Caenorhabditis elegans: one gene and its partners. The protein of the gene in region 1 purifies or fractionates together with the protein of each later gene. This does not show direct contact. Each region holds a gene or a part of one and is shown in the gene's direction. Other genes may lie near its edges. The genes, in order: srh-199, leo-1, F46G11.2 and ZK673.6.

Evidence for each region.
Region 2: the proteins of srh-199 (region 1) and leo-1 fractionate together in Caenorhabditis elegans (co-fractionation; one large-scale study listed by BioGRID). This does not show direct contact.
Region 3: the proteins of srh-199 (region 1) and F46G11.2 fractionate together in Caenorhabditis elegans (co-fractionation; one large-scale study listed by BioGRID). This does not show direct contact.
Region 4: the proteins of srh-199 (region 1) and ZK673.6 fractionate together in Caenorhabditis elegans (co-fractionation; one large-scale study listed by BioGRID). This does not show direct contact.

What each region holds. Positions count from the first base shown.
Region 1 is NC_003283.11:1,749,462-1,753,421, reverse strand, and holds srh-199 (Serpentine Receptor, class H), read left to right. Parts: upstream 1-1,872; coding exon 1,873-2,200; intron 2,201-2,245; coding exon 2,246-2,436; intron 2,437-2,908; coding exon 2,909-3,421; downstream 3,422-3,960. Other genes in the region: ZK697.1 (Serpentine Receptor, class Z), read right to left, coding at 1-26, 70-134, 187-626.
Region 2 is NC_003282.8:11,327,107-11,331,099, reverse strand, and holds leo-1 (RNA polymerase-associated protein LEO1), read left to right. Parts: upstream 1-1,730; coding exon 1,731-1,786; intron 1,787-1,833; coding exon 1,834-2,230; intron 2,231-2,277; coding exon 2,278-2,451; intron 2,452-2,498; coding exon 2,499-2,593; intron 2,594-2,641; coding exon 2,642-2,741; intron 2,742-2,793; coding exon 2,794-3,124; intron 3,125-3,194; coding exon 3,195-3,334; 3' UTR 3,335-3,479; downstream 3,480-3,993. Other genes in the region: sart-3 (Spliceosome associated factor 3, U4/U6 recycling protein), read left to right, coding at 1-268, 316-653, 711-824, 874-1,168, 1,221-1,336; B0035.21 (Kinesin motor domain-containing protein), read right to left, coding at 3,531-3,594, 3,641-3,744. UniProt on the Caenorhabditis elegans protein: Component of the PAF1 complex which is a multifunctional complex involved in transcription initiation via genetic interactions with TATA-binding proteins, elongation and transcription-coupled histone modification.
Region 3 is NC_003284.9:5,786,449-5,790,902, forward strand, and holds F46G11.2 (uncharacterized protein), read left to right. Parts: upstream 1-1,712; 5' UTR 1,713-1,714; coding exon 1,715-1,781; intron 1,782-1,836; coding exon 1,837-1,934; intron 1,935-2,524; coding exon 2,525-2,622; intron 2,623-2,677; coding exon 2,678-2,794; intron 2,795-2,849; coding exon 2,850-2,942; intron 2,943-2,987; coding exon 2,988-3,150; intron 3,151-3,205; coding exon 3,206-3,302; intron 3,303-3,350; coding exon 3,351-3,547; intron 3,548-3,588; coding exon 3,589-3,804; 3' UTR 3,805-3,897; downstream 3,898-4,454. Other genes in the region: F46G11.6 (ZP domain-containing protein), read left to right, coding at 80-248, 396-568, 624-764.
Region 4 is NC_003280.10:10,462,302-10,466,217, reverse strand, and holds ZK673.6 (uncharacterized protein), read left to right. Parts: upstream 1-1,887; 5' UTR 1,888-1,898; coding exon 1,899-1,972; intron 1,973-2,017; coding exon 2,018-2,174; intron 2,175-2,235; coding exon 2,236-2,404; intron 2,405-2,451; coding exon 2,452-2,660; intron 2,661-2,981; coding exon 2,982-3,053; intron 3,054-3,101; coding exon 3,102-3,275; 3' UTR 3,276-3,351; downstream 3,352-3,916. Other genes in the region: sdz-37 (SKN-1 Dependent Zygotic transcript), read right to left, coding at 920-1,348; ZK673.11 (Protein aurora borealis), read right to left, coding at 3,550-3,691, 3,815-3,881.

The sequences.
Region 1 (3,960 bases):
TGACTCTTTTTGAAGATAAAAGTTGTCTAAATTTAATTGGGTTATATACGTTTTTTTCATAAAACATACAATTAATAACTGAGTAAGACGCCATTGAACAATAAACTACAAATATTGCGATGTTCAGTTGTGATCTGAGATTTGCACTATTACAAAAATACTGAAGGTACTCTATATGTAACTCACTTTATTAATAGCCATTTGTACTGCGCAAAGTGAAGAATTAAAATACGCTGCATAGTAGCCAGAAAAGTAAACGATATGATGCATCCGAAAACGAAACCGATAGAAATATAAATGAACAGTGCGATAGTAAGCATCGCTGCAAGAGAATAATTACTCTCTCTATCAGCAATCAATCTAGTAAAAAGATTTATACTGTTGATGAAAAGAGTGCAACCAGCAATGAAAAAGAGCTGCTGGAAAATCGGAGCATGAAATTCCTTGAATTTTACTCGTTTTTCTGCTTTCCTATTTCTTCGTTTGTAAAGCAGTAATAATAAAAAGAATATGCAGTTCGTAGTGTGGATGAAAAGCATTACAACATCCATAACGTCAAGAAACAATGTGTCAAGACTGTTTTCATGTTCCTTGTATGAACGTGCAGCAAAAATTAAAAACTCCATGGTAGAACTCAGAAATTACAAGTTGAAGCTTTTTGAAGTGTAGCATGAGGCTATAAAACACCATGACAGGTGAATAGTTTTTCAGAGTACCCTCGGAAAAAATCAAACTTTCATAGAAACTGCTGCAACTTAAAAGAAATTGAGATTTTGAAATTGAAATTTGAGATTTTTTTTTGCGTTTATTCGTTGATTCGTTGATATACATTTGGGGCACAAAATGAAACTTTCATTTATGCCCCAAAGACCATAAATGTACTTAAATCAACGAATAAACGCTTAATCAAAAGCCACACTATTTATTAAAAAATGATGAATGAATAAAAATTAGGTTCCAGACGTTGTGACACCGAGAAGTTGGAAAAAATTTTGATTTTAGCTGAAAATGGATCTTTTTTGCAGTAGTTTGAACCGCCATAACGTTTTTTGAAAAATTTTCAGAACGTCTCATTACGAAATTTGGTAGTTTTGGACCAATTTGCGTCTAAAAAAGCAAAGTCTCAAATTTCGGTACTCCACAAGATTTTTGTGATAAAATTTTAATTTTTATTTACAGCTGGAATCAGTGGGAATTTCATCCAAAACGATCAAGTATCATAATAAAACACTCCAAAATTTTTTTAGATTTTTATTAATTTCCGGTCAAAGTTTTGGCAAATTACCAAAAATTTTAAAAATATAGGCGGCTGAGGAAATCTAAAGCAATTTCGCATGTTCAGACACCTACAATATTTTTATACGAATAATTAAAACAAAAATATTTTTTATGATTTTTTATGTGTATTATGTGTATTATTTTGTGTTTTTTTTCTTGTGACACGATTCGTATGGAATCGTATTAAAATAAATAAATAAATAAATAAATAAATAAAAATTACAGTATAAAAAATGTATGAAACAATTTTTTTGGCCGATTTCCAAATTTATGAGTGCCAAAAATTGAGTAATTGCCAACTTTCGACAGTAAATAAAAAAATTTCAAATATTTGTAAAAATTTTTTAAAAAAATTTTTCTTAAACAGTTTATCTTCAAACATTAGTCACTTCACCTACTTTTCATCTGCTGACATTATGACGAAAAATAGTTTTCAGCTGCGCGAAACGAAATGTCTTTAGTCAGGACAGCCAAGCAATTCATGATCGATTTTTTAGCAACTAACTATTCAAATATTTTCTTTGAGAATATTCGTGGCCATCAACTTAATAAACGTTTCTCTCAAAAAGTTAAACATTGTTCAATTCAACAATAATGAACTATACATGTATACCGGATCTAACCTATATAGACACTCCTGATTTCTTATTGACAGATATGCACATTATCACAGGAATATCTACACCAATTCATTTTCTTGGACTATACTGTATCATTTTTAAGACTCCTAAGCAGATGAGGAGTGTGAAATGGTACATGCTAATTTTGCATATTTATGTTATGATATTTGACTACTCCTATACAATTATGACAGTCCCTTTTGTTCTATCACCTTTTGCTGCGGGCTTTCCACTTGGTCTGCTTCGTCTCACAGGAATGTCAGTTGTTGCACAGTCAATATATTTTATAATAATTTACTTTTGTAAGTGACCTTTTGCTTGAAACCCAGAAAGAGACAAATTTATAGTTATGTTAAACGGAATAGTTTCGATTTTCGAAAATAGGTTTTATAAAATTTGCTCGTTCACCTCGAAAAATACGTGGAAATTTTGGAGGATTGTATGGCTAGCTGGGCATTATGTAATAGAGGTCCTGCTGATCCTTCCTATAAAATGTTTTGTTCCAGAACAGACACATGCACTACAATACGTGTTTCAGGTTGTGAAAAAAATTCATTAGAGGTGAAGTAGCGCCAGTGGGAATTTTGTTTAAAATGATCCAAAACAACCAAATATCTTTTAAAAAAATACTCCGAAAAATTGTAGATTTTTCATAATTTCCGGGCAAAGTTTTAGCAAATTGCCAAAATTTTGAAAAAATATGAGATTTTGAGGAAATCCAAAGCAATGTCGCATGTTCCGACCCCTACAATGTTTTAATACAAATAATTAAAACAAAATTACAGTATAAAAAATATAGAAAAAAATTTGTTTTTTTTGCTCGACTTCCAAAATTATGAGTGGCAAAAACTAAATAATTGTAACTTTTTGACAGTAAATAAAAAATTTCCAAAATTTTTCTGAAAAGTTTTATTGAGATATTCGGTAATTTTGACGCCATATGAGTAGTTTTTAACATTTTCCCCACTGGCGCTAATTCACCTATAAAAATATTAAATTCCACTTTTCAGAACCTTCCATGTCTACCTAGATATATATACGATGGTCCGGTTTACGTGGTTGCTGAAGACATCACTTACCATTTTTCATTTATTTTCTCATTGCATGTGCTTATTTGTTTCGAAGTGATTTTCTTTTTCGGATATCTTATTCGGAGCGGTCGTCAGCAACTGAAAGGAAAAACAATGTCTCAAAGAACGTTTCAGTTGCAGAAAAAGTTTTTTATAGCACTCATTTCTCAAGTTTGTGTGCCATCAGTTTTCTTTATTATTCCACTAATCTACGTTGTGATAACAATTTTAACGAAATATTATAATCAAGGATATCTTAATATTGCATTCACAATTATCGCTATGCATGGACTTGTTTCGACATCTGCAATGCTTTCACTTCATCAACCCTATCGGGAAACAATTCTGAATACGTTTCAAAAAACACCAAGAACCTTGTCCAAGATCCAAAACTTAAATGATAAGCGGTTGCACAGGTGCTCGGCTCGTGTAGCTCATATTTCACCTGGTTGATGTGTTAATGATGTGAATAAATACGTAAAGTAACGAGAAAATTGATGATATTCAGTTGCACTATTTAAGCATTCCATGTGTGTAGAATTTTTTTCCCTCTTCATGAATATTCAGAACTGAGTTTTAAAGGGTTTTAGAAAATTGAAATAATTTATTTTAAAAAAAACTGCTTGACATAGACCCTTCACCCGGCCATATAAAAATTTCCATTGGAAAAAAAAAATCACTTTGCTATTTTTGCGTAAGGCCGCATTTTGTTGTGCATGACGAGTCCCCTTCGGCCATATTGAGTACGTTTTGAGTACAAATTCGGTTTAAAAAACTCACTCTCTCGCCCATGAAAAACGCAAAGACAGTTCATCACGCATCCAATTGTACATGATGTTTTGAAACTGATCATGACATGACAGATTTTGTTTCAATGAGTTGTTCTTTTGGAGTTGAAAACAAACATTGGAAAGGTTTGACGATTTTCACAATTAGAAAATAAACGTTTCAAAACAAACTTATTACAATTTTCATCATTGTAGACAAGTGTC
Region 2 (3,993 bases), on another chromosome or scaffold:
TATCTAAACAAAGCTCTCAATTCTGTATCGGATAACATCAACGAAATCTATATGTACTATGTTCAATTTGAAAGAGAAGAAGGAACATTGGCTGAGTTGGATTTGGTTCTTGAGAAAGTGAATTCACAGGTTGCTCATCGAGCCATTCGACCACAAAAGAAAGTTTCTGAGAAACCAGCTCCAGCTCCTAAATCAAAGCAAGATCATATTCAGAAGAGAACGTCGGGAGGTGAACCAATTGTAAAAAAAGTGAAAGGAGACGACGGAGGTAAATAATTTTTAAAAGTAAAGAAGTTAATTTGAATTAAATTTTAGGATTCAAAGCTCCACTTCCACCATCCAATGCGAAAAGTTCATCAGCTGTATCCTCTTCAAATGCTTCGTCGACACCAGCTCCAGGTTCCTTTGCAGTTCAGAAAGCAGCTCCAGGAACGGAAGATGCTCGCACAATTTTTGTTTCTAATCTCGATTTCACTACGACGGAAGACGAAATTCGACAAGCCATTGAAGGTGTTGCTTCAATTCGATTCGCAAGAAAAGCGAATTCGGATCTTGTGCACAGAGGGTTCGCCTATGTTGTAATGGAGAATGATCAGAAGGCACAGCAAGCTCTCTTGAAAGATCGAGTTCCTGTGAAGGGAAGGCCAATGTTTGTAAGTTTTAATTTTACTTTATAAATATTTGTGAAATTTTAATTTCTGAAAATTCAGATCTCCGCCAACGATCCAGAAAAACGGGTTGGATTCAAATTCTCAACCACTCTTGAAAAATCGAAAGTCTTCGTTCGCAATGTCCACTTCCAGGCAACCGACGATGAGTTAAAGGTAATATATACTTATCTATCATTTTATATTCTAAATCGATACATTTCAGGCATTATTCTCGAAATTCGGTACAGTAACCAGTGTTCGACGCGTGACTCATAAAGATGGAAAACCAAAAGGAATCGCATTCGTAGATTTTGACACAGAAGCAAGTGCTCAAAAATGTGTTGCTTCTGGTGATAAATTGATGCTTCGAGAAAGAGAACTAGAGGTAGCGTTATCCAATCCACCAGTAAAAAAGGATAAATCGCATGGAAAACCAGCAGCAATTGGAGCAAGTTTGGAAGAAGATGGACCTAGAAAAGGACATGCTGCAAAACTGCAATTGGTTCCCAGAGCTATTAGTAAGTATATCATCTTTAGTTCCCAGCTTAGCATAAAAAAATCCATTTTCAGCAAACAAAACTCCTCAAATCACTGCTCGGCTGGACGCAATGGATGTTTCCGAAGGCACTTCAACGTCTCAGCCACTTTCAAATGATCAATTCCGTAAAATGTTTATGAAAAATTAGGGCCGTTTTTCACCAGAAACTTTCATTGTTCATATCAAGATTCATTTAGTTATTTAATTTCTATTACGTTCCCCAGTGTCTCCTTTCCAATTAAAATTCCGGTAGATGCTATTTTTGATGTTCTCGCTATAATTATATTTGTTCTTCACTACGAATTGCAAGATTTAGTTTCATAACTGTTCATAATCCTTGTTTTCTTTTTGTTTGCTAATAATTTGTAATAGAGATCCCCCAATATTCATTTTCAACTTATTGCCTATGGATAAGAAAATCTGAATTTTCAACAACTACTTTTATTATTCAATTTTTATCGGTATATTCGACCCCAAATTATTACTTTGTTTTGCTACTTTCGCTATTCAAAGAACTTAGGTATGCAATATTTTCAATTCAGATGTCATCTTCTGAGGGTAATTCTGACGCTTCTGCACCAGGAACACCAGTTAAATCGTAAGTAAATGGTAATTGTGTTTCTAAAATAATATAATTCAATTCAGATCAACTCCATCTTCTCGTGGATCGTCGCCAGATTCACCAAAAAAACAAGAACCGTCTAAGAAAAGAGCGATATTAAATGAGTCCGACGATGATGATGATTCTCGTCCTGCTCCTCGACAATTGTCCGATTCTTCTGACGATAACATTCATCCGAGAGGAGGAGGTGAAAAGAGTTCCCCCGGTGCTGGTGGTGGTTTGTTCGGTGATCTCTCTGGCTCTTCCGACGATGATTCCGACAGAGAAGGAAAGCCGAAAGAATCAAATACAAGAGCACGATTGTCAGATTCCGATGCGGAGAGTCGTGGAAGTTTGAATGATTTGCAAGGAATTGTGATGGCTAATCCAGATGAAATAGATGAAGATGAAAAAGCAAAGGAGCATGTTCATGATACTGAAGTAAACATTTTCAATGAAATAATGTGATTAAAACATTGATTTTCCAGATGGTAACAGGTCGTGTTACTTTGGAGTACGCTGCAGATCCACCACATTTTGTCAGAATGCCAAACTTTCTATCAGTCGCCACTCATCCATTTGATCCACAACATTACGAGGAAGACGAAGATGATGAGCAGGCGAAATTGGATGATGAAGGACGAACACGTCTCAAATTGAGAGTATGTCTGTGTTATAAATACATCTCATCAAATATACAATTTTTAAGGTGGAAAATACACTTCGCTGGCGAGTTCGCAAAGATGAAAATGGAAAAGAAATTCGAGAGAGTAATGCAAAAATTGTAAAATGGGACGATGGAACGTTAGTTTTCAATTGATGCAAAATTTCCATATCGTGACTTAATTTCAGAATGTCTCTATACCTCGGAAACGAAATTTTCGAAGTCTCATTGGTGCCGCTGAATTCCAATAATCTTCCCCATCTTTACGTTAAGCAGCCAACATTAATGGTATTTTGATTGTTAATGTTTTTATTTTAATCAAAATTTATGTCATTTTTAGTCGGCTCAAGCTGTTCTTACACATCGTATGACCTTCCGTCCTCACTCGACTGATTCCCAAACTCACAGAAAAGTCACACTCAATATGGCAGATCGAAGCAGGAAGAATGCTCAAGTTAAAGTCATGGACGATGTTGGTCAGAATCCGGAAATTACACGGCGTGAGAATGCCCGGAAGGAGGAAGAATCACTTCGTGCACACATCCGACGTACTCAGATGGTTCGGAATAACTTTAAAGTTCGTGGTCCGAGATATGCAGGACAATATTCTGATGATGAAGATATGCCAACGTCATCCAGAAAAGGAAAGAAGAAGGAAGCACCAATTATTGGTAAGTTCAATTTAATTTTGATTAGGACTTTACCAGAATAAAGAAACTGTACTACAATAATATATTTCAGGTGCCAGCTCAGAAAGTGAGGACGATCATGCGGATACCACAAAGAAAAGCGGATCGGATAGCGATTCTGATGAAGAGTACCGAAAGAGAAAACAACAACAAAAGAAACAGATTGTCACCAGTGACGAAGAATCTGACTAAATTTATTTCAATTTTGATCCTCACAATTTTATATTTCGCGAATTCAATATTTCTCCCTTTACAATATTTCGAAAATGTTTTCCTTTCCTTATTTATTTTAGTCTTCGATATTTCGAGATAATGAAACATCCACAATATTATGAAAAACCGAGCTTTTATTTCTTAATTTCAATCAGATTGTATGTAATATTTAAAATCATACATCCACTACGTCTTCCTCGCTTCTCAAAGAATTGGCATCAAGTGTCGTATCATAAATTCTGAAACTTGAAATAATCTACGATTTCAGAATTCTCAAAATCAAACCTCCGTGTTTTATCGTTTTCCATTGCTCTTGGGGAAATCGATACATTTAATATCAACTGAGCTTCTTCTTGATTTCCAGAGCTTCTCGATCGCAGTAAAAACATCAATATAATGATTTGAAAGAAGATTCCATAAATTAAAATTCGAAAAACTATAGGTTTTGACTTTTGATTCCAGAGTATTTTAAACATCTTTGTGGAAAATGTAGGAAATGATTTTTCACGTTTGATAAAGAAACTGACTAATAAATTTTTACATCTAACAACAAATCTTTGAATCAATCATATTATAATATACACGGAACCACTATGTCCGAAAGATTTAAAATTTAAAAAAATTGAAATTGAAAAAAG
Region 3 (4,454 bases), on another chromosome or scaffold:
AAGAACACATTGTTCCGAACGCAATGACCTACTTGTATCGGGGTATCTCCAGAATGGAATGAATCGATCCAGCATACAAATGTCCAACCAACTTCTCGTATTCATACTTTTTCTTAGCGTTCTAGCGCCCACGCTATCCATCTATAAGTCAAAACAAAAACCGAACTTGTTGTCGAAAACTGTTGATAATAGTATAACGTGCGACTTTTCGATTCACAAAAAGGGACCTTATGGACAAGTTGTTTCAGGTATGCTTTAGTTCTGGTGTTTGAAAAAAGTTTCAGAAAATAACAAATTTGAATTTAAAAAAAAAAGAAGTTTGTAAAAAACTACAAACATATACAATGTCTGTCAAACAGCCTCTGTTATTGTTTCAAAAAGTTCAAAAATTTCAGGAGCATCTCTTGACGACGAGATTTACTATAAAATAAAGTGTAAGCCAATAACTGGAAATTGCCTCCAAGTTGTAAATTGCACATTGAGCTCGGATGAGCCAGGTTTCCAGCCATACCCTATTATTGATGATATGGGATGTAGCCTTGAAGAGTCACTGTTCAAAAATGTTCAGGTATCAAGAATTTAGGAAATTTGGAGAACAATATCTACAAAATGTCTATTTTCAGTATCCAAACCACTTTGAGGCGGGAATCTTCAATCCCTTCCCAATTCGGTTCCGTGCGTCGTCTGCCGCCGTTGTCTTGTTCTGTGTAACAACTGTGGTTCCAATTGAACATGGGCAGTGTACTCGCAGAAAATGTCAATAGATGAAGTTTCATGTTCATTTACTTTTCACTTCTGTGATTTTATTTAACAACTTCGATTTTAAATCTATGGTTATCTGGTGTTTTGTCATTTAAAACATTTTAAAGTACACGTTTTCATTGAATGAATAACATGCATATCACAATCGGAATTGTTTTTTTTTTTCATTCTCTCTGTGTACTTTCAAGCCAGACAAACATTACGCACGTATTCAGAAAAAAAGTGAAAAAAAAACGGTTTATGCAAATGTATCAGAATACCATGCAAACCAGCTGTAGTATTAAAAATTTGTTATATATATTTTTTACTTTCACTCTCTATCTATTTTTTTCTGTTTTTTGTCGGCCTTGAACTTGAACTACCTTTTTCCAATCATGAAGCAATGAAGCGAGCGTGGATTTTTTTGTTTTCCGCTGTGATTTGCTGTTTCTATCATCTCTATCCATGAATTGCATCACCGGATTGGAGGCGAAGTGTCCTACTATAACCGGAGTAATTCGATCGATCGATCAACCCTGCGCAAGCGAAATTTAGAGAATCTCCCTATGCGCTTGTTGAATGGAGATATATTAGAAATATGGTTGGAACACGCGGATGCGCAGACGAGTCTCGCAATTGACCGGTTTTTAGGAAAACTTTTCCCCCGCTTACCTCCGGACGTTCATCCTTAATACTGTTATTTCTAGAAGCGTCAGGCGACCTTTTCAATAAGTTCACTAAACATGAGTATGTCGCAAGGCGCATCATTTAATCACTTGATCCAGTCTTGGATCGTAGTTGCTTCATGCTTCATGACCCACCAAAGTGAAAGACTATATCATTTTATTCACCGTTTCTTATCATTTTCGTCTCTTTCTCACTAAATCGGTCACCGTGATCTTATCCTTAACCTCGTTCTTTATCTTTTCAATTAGGTGTTCAATTTTTTGTGATCACAAAGCCGTTTTTCCAGATGAAATGTTACTTACTTTTTCTGTTATTGGTACCTGTAGTATTATCAGAGCGAAGCAAAAGGCAAAGTAAGTTTTATTTTTAGCGTCCTTGTAAACCTAAGCAATCTTTCACAATTTTCAGTTTCAATTGATGACATTATATCCGGCGCATTAAGTCTCGTGAGACCGATCTTTGACACTTCAAAACCTATTCAAAACGAAGGAATGCTTAGAAAACCAGTGAGTTAAACCAGTAAGCTTAAACCAGTAAGCTCAAAATCAGAGTCAATTCCAGAACTGATCGAATTAGGTGATATAAATTGAATCACCAATATTGCCTGTAAGCTTCTTTGCAAGCTTAAACGGTGAGGTAAAACAATCTGGGAATTCGATTTTTAAACCCAAAATAGCTAGAAACCTCCGAATTTTGTAATGAGACGTACTCAAAATTCCTCAGAATTACTGAAGGCGGTTATAAGTACTGAAAAAATGACTGTTTTAAAATCTCCAATTTTGCAAACTTGACAAAATCAGAGCCTAAATCAAAAAACAGGACGTAATTACAAAATTACGCAATAAAAACTTACATCCACAAATGGTCGCGCAAAATTTCTAGTAAATCGAGTAAAATTTGAGATTTTAGTGAAAATTTACATTTTATTCAAAATTTAGAACCGCCATACCGTTTTTGAAAAAAATTTCAGAACGTCTTATCACGAAATTCAGTAGTTTTGAGCATTCTGAACTTTCCAATGCTTCAAAAATTTTGAAAATGACATACGCGAGCACGCGTAAAAATTAGTTCCAAATAATACATTGAAATTTTAAAGGACGCTCCAACTCAAGATGATATGCGCGACTCATCAATTTTGGGATCACACTCGAGAACTGCGTTAGATGATGTACCACTTTGCAAGGGGAATAGCAAGTAAGTAATTCGAATGTTTTGGAACTTTCATTTTTTTTTATTTTGGGAATTTCAGTATTTGCCGATTCATTTCGTGTTCTGCTGAAAACTTCAAAAAAGATCCGACATTTGGCAATATACAACTTGCTGCTCAAATACTTGGAGATGCTAAGCTTAGAAAAACTATCAGCAGGTACGGTTGTGCAAACAAAAAAACAAATATAATAAAGTGTAAATCAAATTTCCAGTAACTCTGATGCAGTTCACGCTGTATGCAAAGAACAAGGCATGGATGATGCGCAGTGTAAATTATTTTCCAAGGGATTCCAATTGATTGATAAGTATGTTAGCTTTAACATTGAAACTTATAGAAAAAATAAGTTCAGGTTCATGACATCTATTGAAAAGCCAACAGATGCAAAAGGCGGTGCACCTCCATCCACAGAACCACCAGTGACATCGATCCCCGATTTTGATGAGCCTACTGATGATGAGCCTCAAAAACCAATGATGGACGATCCTGCACAATTACAAGACGATGATAATAGAGTATGGTTTTCTTTTTCTCATTTTAGAACAATGAGAATATTATTAACAATTTCAGAAGCGCTGGGCGGATTATGATACCCCATCTATTACCCCGGTGATTCCCGTGCAAACAGCACACGGATCCAAAACGTGGAGTAGCAACCCTGAGACAAGTATGTTTATTTCAAGTAAGCTTTTCATTATATTTAAAATATTTACAGAATCATTACAACCGCTGGAAATCAGAAATGATCTTGTCTCTAGCTGGACTCAAATGCCATTTTTCGCGCCTCCAACTATTCCACCAGCCCCGCCGCTTGCTTTCAAATCTGTGCCTTCACTAATTTTACAACCGATTCAAGCACCACAGTTGGAGAATGGAATATTCTTCTCGACAGATAAATTCAATTTCCTCAAGGTGAATAACAACTTGAATTTTTAAAATCTAAATTTTTTCAGGACTTCAATCCGATCAAGCGATTCAGACGATCTCCTGATTACTACGATCAGATCGACGAAAAGAAGAAACCTTCAAAAACTTCTGATTCATCTAAAAAATCGTCTGGCAATACTGATGATTACTATGGAAACTTTGATAGTGACATAGATGAGAAAGATGAAATTGAAACCACCGGTCTGAAACAGTGCGTCCATTTTCTGGGACTTGGTGTATAGATCTTATCCACATATGTACAGTTTTTCTATCATTTCTTATTTTTTAAAATTTCAGTTGTTTGATTGACGGGTGTAATAAATCAAGATTCTTTTGAAATGAAAAACTTACTGAACGCAAAATTGGAAAAAAGAAATACTCTGGTTAATGGTCCTGTTTGGAAAATGTGTGATTTGATTTGGACAATAGGGCAAATTTGCATATCGATGTTTTTTTCCAAATCTGTTAGTGGAAGAACTGACTAATTGACACATTGTGACTGTATGTATATAAAAATTTTGATACTTCTGGTTTTTAAGTTTGGTTATGAGCACGTAACTGTAAACAGTTTTCTCATTCGGCAATATTCTATTTTTGAAAGAAAAACATTTTTTAACACTTTAAATAAAATTTAATGGCTGAAACTTTCGTTGTAAATAAATGTTGACAATTGGTGAAATAGTTCAATTCGAAAAAGTTTTGAAACAGAAAACTTATTTTTTAAAAAATCTCTAATTGCCTTTGGGATCACAAATGAATAGAAATTATTGAATTGAATCAGAAAAAGAAACAATTGAATTTTCCGAGTTTGAAATACAATTTTTGCGAACATTTTAAGAAGTGCAATCTCTTGAAGGAAATAACTTATAATTAAAAAGCTCAATGATTTACA
Region 4 (3,916 bases), on another chromosome or scaffold:
ACTTGAAAAACCGCTTAGGACCTTCACCAACCGCGTCCTGCAAAGGTGCAACGTTAAATTCACCTCTTACGAAAACAGACTGTGCATCATGGAACTATTCTCCACCAGACACACTAGAATTAAAGCTCAAATGAAACTATTATATAGACTTCTTACCGGTTCTACTCATTTCTCTAAATTAACTCAGTTTGTCAAGTTCTCTAATTCCAATAGGAGACCCATGATTCTGGTTAGGAAAGACACATGCACCTCTCATTTCTTTGCCAAATCCATTCCTATTTGGAACAATCTTGTCAAAAATATACCGGTATTTCTCTCCCCCTATCAGTTTTCAAGTTTTCTCGATCTCAATATTCCCCGGTATTAACTTTTATCCGCTGGTTCTCTTTGACTTCTAACTGATCTCTTCTACCACATTACCCTCTCTCTCCTTTCCCGTCCCAAACTCGAGACGTACTCTTTCTGGGTTAGTCTCGTTTTACCGTTTTATTTAACACTCAAAATTCAATTGTACAGTTGTAAATTGCATTAGTTATGTTAAATAAATCAATCAATCATCTGAAAATTTTGAAAAAAACGAATGTGCTACAAAATACTAGCTTAAAGTAATTGGAGTAATTGGAATTTTCGATGGTGGAACTAGCAAAAAAATTTTATTCAGAAATGTATTGTATTCAATTAGTATTGAAAGCGTGGTCGTTTGAAGTGAAAAACAACTTTTAATTAGTCTGATTAATTTATTAAAACAATTGAGTAAAAGTACAGTTGTTAAAAATTGAGAAAACCAATACAGAAAAAATACCGGACAGAAATTTTGTAATCATTTCCAAGAAAAAGTACAATTATAAAAACCGAACCTGGATATCAGAAAAACCGACTAAACTGTTTGAGGAAAAATAAATAAAAATAATTAATAATATTAAACTGAAACACGGGATTTCTTCTTGATTTCCTTGACAAGTTCTGGATTGTAGAATGGATTGGCAACGAGTTTCACTGGAGATTGAGCCTTGGCAACATATTCTGGATCAAAAAATGGATTTGGGATGAGATGGGCTGGAGCAGGAGAAGTTGAAGCTGATTGTCCAGTTGAAGTGGCTCCACTGCAGAATCCGGAGTCCATTCCAGTGTCACTGAAGCAGGCATCATCGGAGAATTGTTCCTGATTGGCCAAGTTCTCGTAGTAACGGTACTCTTCTTGCCTCTCCATCATGAAAACAGCCATTTTTCGAGCATGCTCATCAAGGCAAGATTTCTGATGAGTGTTGAGACGCTTGTTTCGAGGGAAGAATTGAAAGATGGAAGCATTGTTGTAGAATGCGAAGGATGGAATTTGAGAGTACTCCATTTTGACAGTGAGAATTGAGAGAAAGGGTAGACGGTAAGAAAGAGCTGGGTAGCTAACAACTGGAAGATTTCCAGAATGAATGATACTATTTCTTTCCGGTTGTCCTTATATATACGGTCCGGTAGACCACGCCCCATTTGGTTATTATCCAGCGGGGCCGACCTTCTTCCCACTATGAGACACAAGGAATTATAGGTGGGGGATGCCTTGCACCTTTTACGATGGTATTTTTCCAGACGGGGTGACGATAACATTGGCAAACAAGGTTATTAGAAATGAACACAATTTCCGGCATATCTGGGAAAATAGCTAATTTATGGGGTCAACAACAGTAAAACTGAGCAAAGATGTTGCTTTTGGAGAATAGGATCATTGGACCAGCGAATTCGGAAATATTTTTCGCCAATTGGCATTAATGCTAGAAAAATTAGTTACAAAAAACAAATAAAATAGATTATTAATTTTTATTCGTGAAAACTTATTTTTTCGAAGACAAACGTGGAAATACTCAATCTCGTATTCCAAATCAATACTCAATCAGTTTTCAAAAATGTCAAATTTGCCGACCAGCACTCCTGTGAGCCCATCTAATCTTGCTGAAGAGAACCCAAAGTCTAATAATCCGTAAGTTCATAAGAATTTTATTCTTCGCAATCTGAGATATTATAGAGAAAGCTCAGAGATAGAGGACGCGAACTTCGTCGGTAAAATTCTTAACAAGGATCAATTTAACCTGAACGAACAGTTCTCCAGTGATATTGAGTGGATTATCAAGTACCTTGATGTCATGCAAGGCGTCACCGTCGGGCTTGAGAAAATGTGCATTGTAAGATTTTGAATAGCGGAGCCAACTCAAATAGTACACGTGTTAATGCATGAATTTTCAGTCGGGAACAAGTTATCACTTCTCTGATAAAACGGAGGTTCCCAACAGCGGTTGGAGATACATGCCGGCATACTTGAAGAAGGTCGAGTTCATCAAGAAGAACGAGGCGGAAGCCAATATGATTGCGGAATTGTGTGAAAAAATGGGCCACAAGGAGGAGCAACATTTCTGTAGGAAAACAAAATTATTTCTCCTATTCTATTGAAACTTTTTACAGATGATATCAAAAATGTGGACCATGACTCAAACATCTACACAACGACAGTATTTTATTGTGATAAGATCAAGAAGATGTACAGTGATGTGGAGAAAACTGTGAAGACGTGCAATCGTAGAAGAAAGAAAGTGGAAAAGACACAGATTCTTCCAGACCTTCGAGATCAATGCACAAAATACCATAAGGCAGTGCATACATTAGATGAACAGGTGAATTTAGAAGGGAGTTTTGTTATTTTTTTGGCAAAGCTTGACGACTTGGTCTATCGCAATTTGAAATCTGGAAATCGCAACAATACGTGCTGTTTTGTAATTTAGTGTCACGACATATTTTCTGAAATTGAAAAAAAAATCACGTACTGCAACGGGATCCAAGTGTCAAACAAAACCCGTGGGCAAGTTAACTTCCACAACTACTTTTGTAAAATTGTTGCAACTTTAAAAGCTTTTCATGGGCATGTAGAAAGAATCCCCAAGATATTGTTGGAAAATTTAGAAAGGAAAATTTTTGTATAAGTGCAATTTTTACAGTGCCGTGAATTGGACAATCTGAAGGAGTACGTCCGAGCTGGTCGACATTTTCATAATCGCCACTTCAAACAGGTTCGTTTTATTTTTGAGCCTTTACTGAAAATTATTTCTAATTTTCAGGGTCTTGTGGTTATTAGCGCCCTGACAGCCGTTAGAAGTGGCGTTATAAAGGAATGGATGACGCGAGACAGCAAGAGACAGCAAAAAAAGGGCAAGACGACGACTGTTGCCAGAAGCACTAACAAGAAGAACAAGAGCATGATGGGAACAGTGAAAGATTTGAAGAAAAAATGAAGTTTGAATGTGTACAAAAGATATTATCATAATTGAAATTCTAATATAAGGCTTTGAAATAAATATATTGGAATTTCATATTTTGTTTCTTTTTAATTCAAAAGCATAACAGTTGAACAATAATTATAAAGCAATGATTTGATATTTATCCACACCAGTACGAGTGATTTTGAATAAAGAATGGAACCACACAATAACACTTCTCGTATATATTTGATAAATCAATATTATTAGTTCCCGTTTCAAAGCAGAATTATAATAATACAAAACACATTTATTGTAGTCTCATCATATCAAATTGTTGTGAGATACTCCGTGGAAAAAATTGAGAAGGACTATGGGTCATACTGTTGATCAGTGGATCATGGGCTCCCGCACAACTTTGCTCATCGCCGTTTTCGGACTCTTCTTCGATTCTGAATATACATTCTGATTTGATTTAAAAGTAAGCAAGCATCTTCCGATGAGAAATAAAAATTTTTCTGATAACTTTCAGTTTTATATTAAAAAACTAAGAATCAATACAAAACTCAATTTACCTGTGAAGCTGAAATTTCGATGCCACATCAGATTCCCCGCATATACTCGCTTCGAAGATTTGAGAATCTTAAAGTTTTGTTTAATTTTGTTGAGGGGGACTG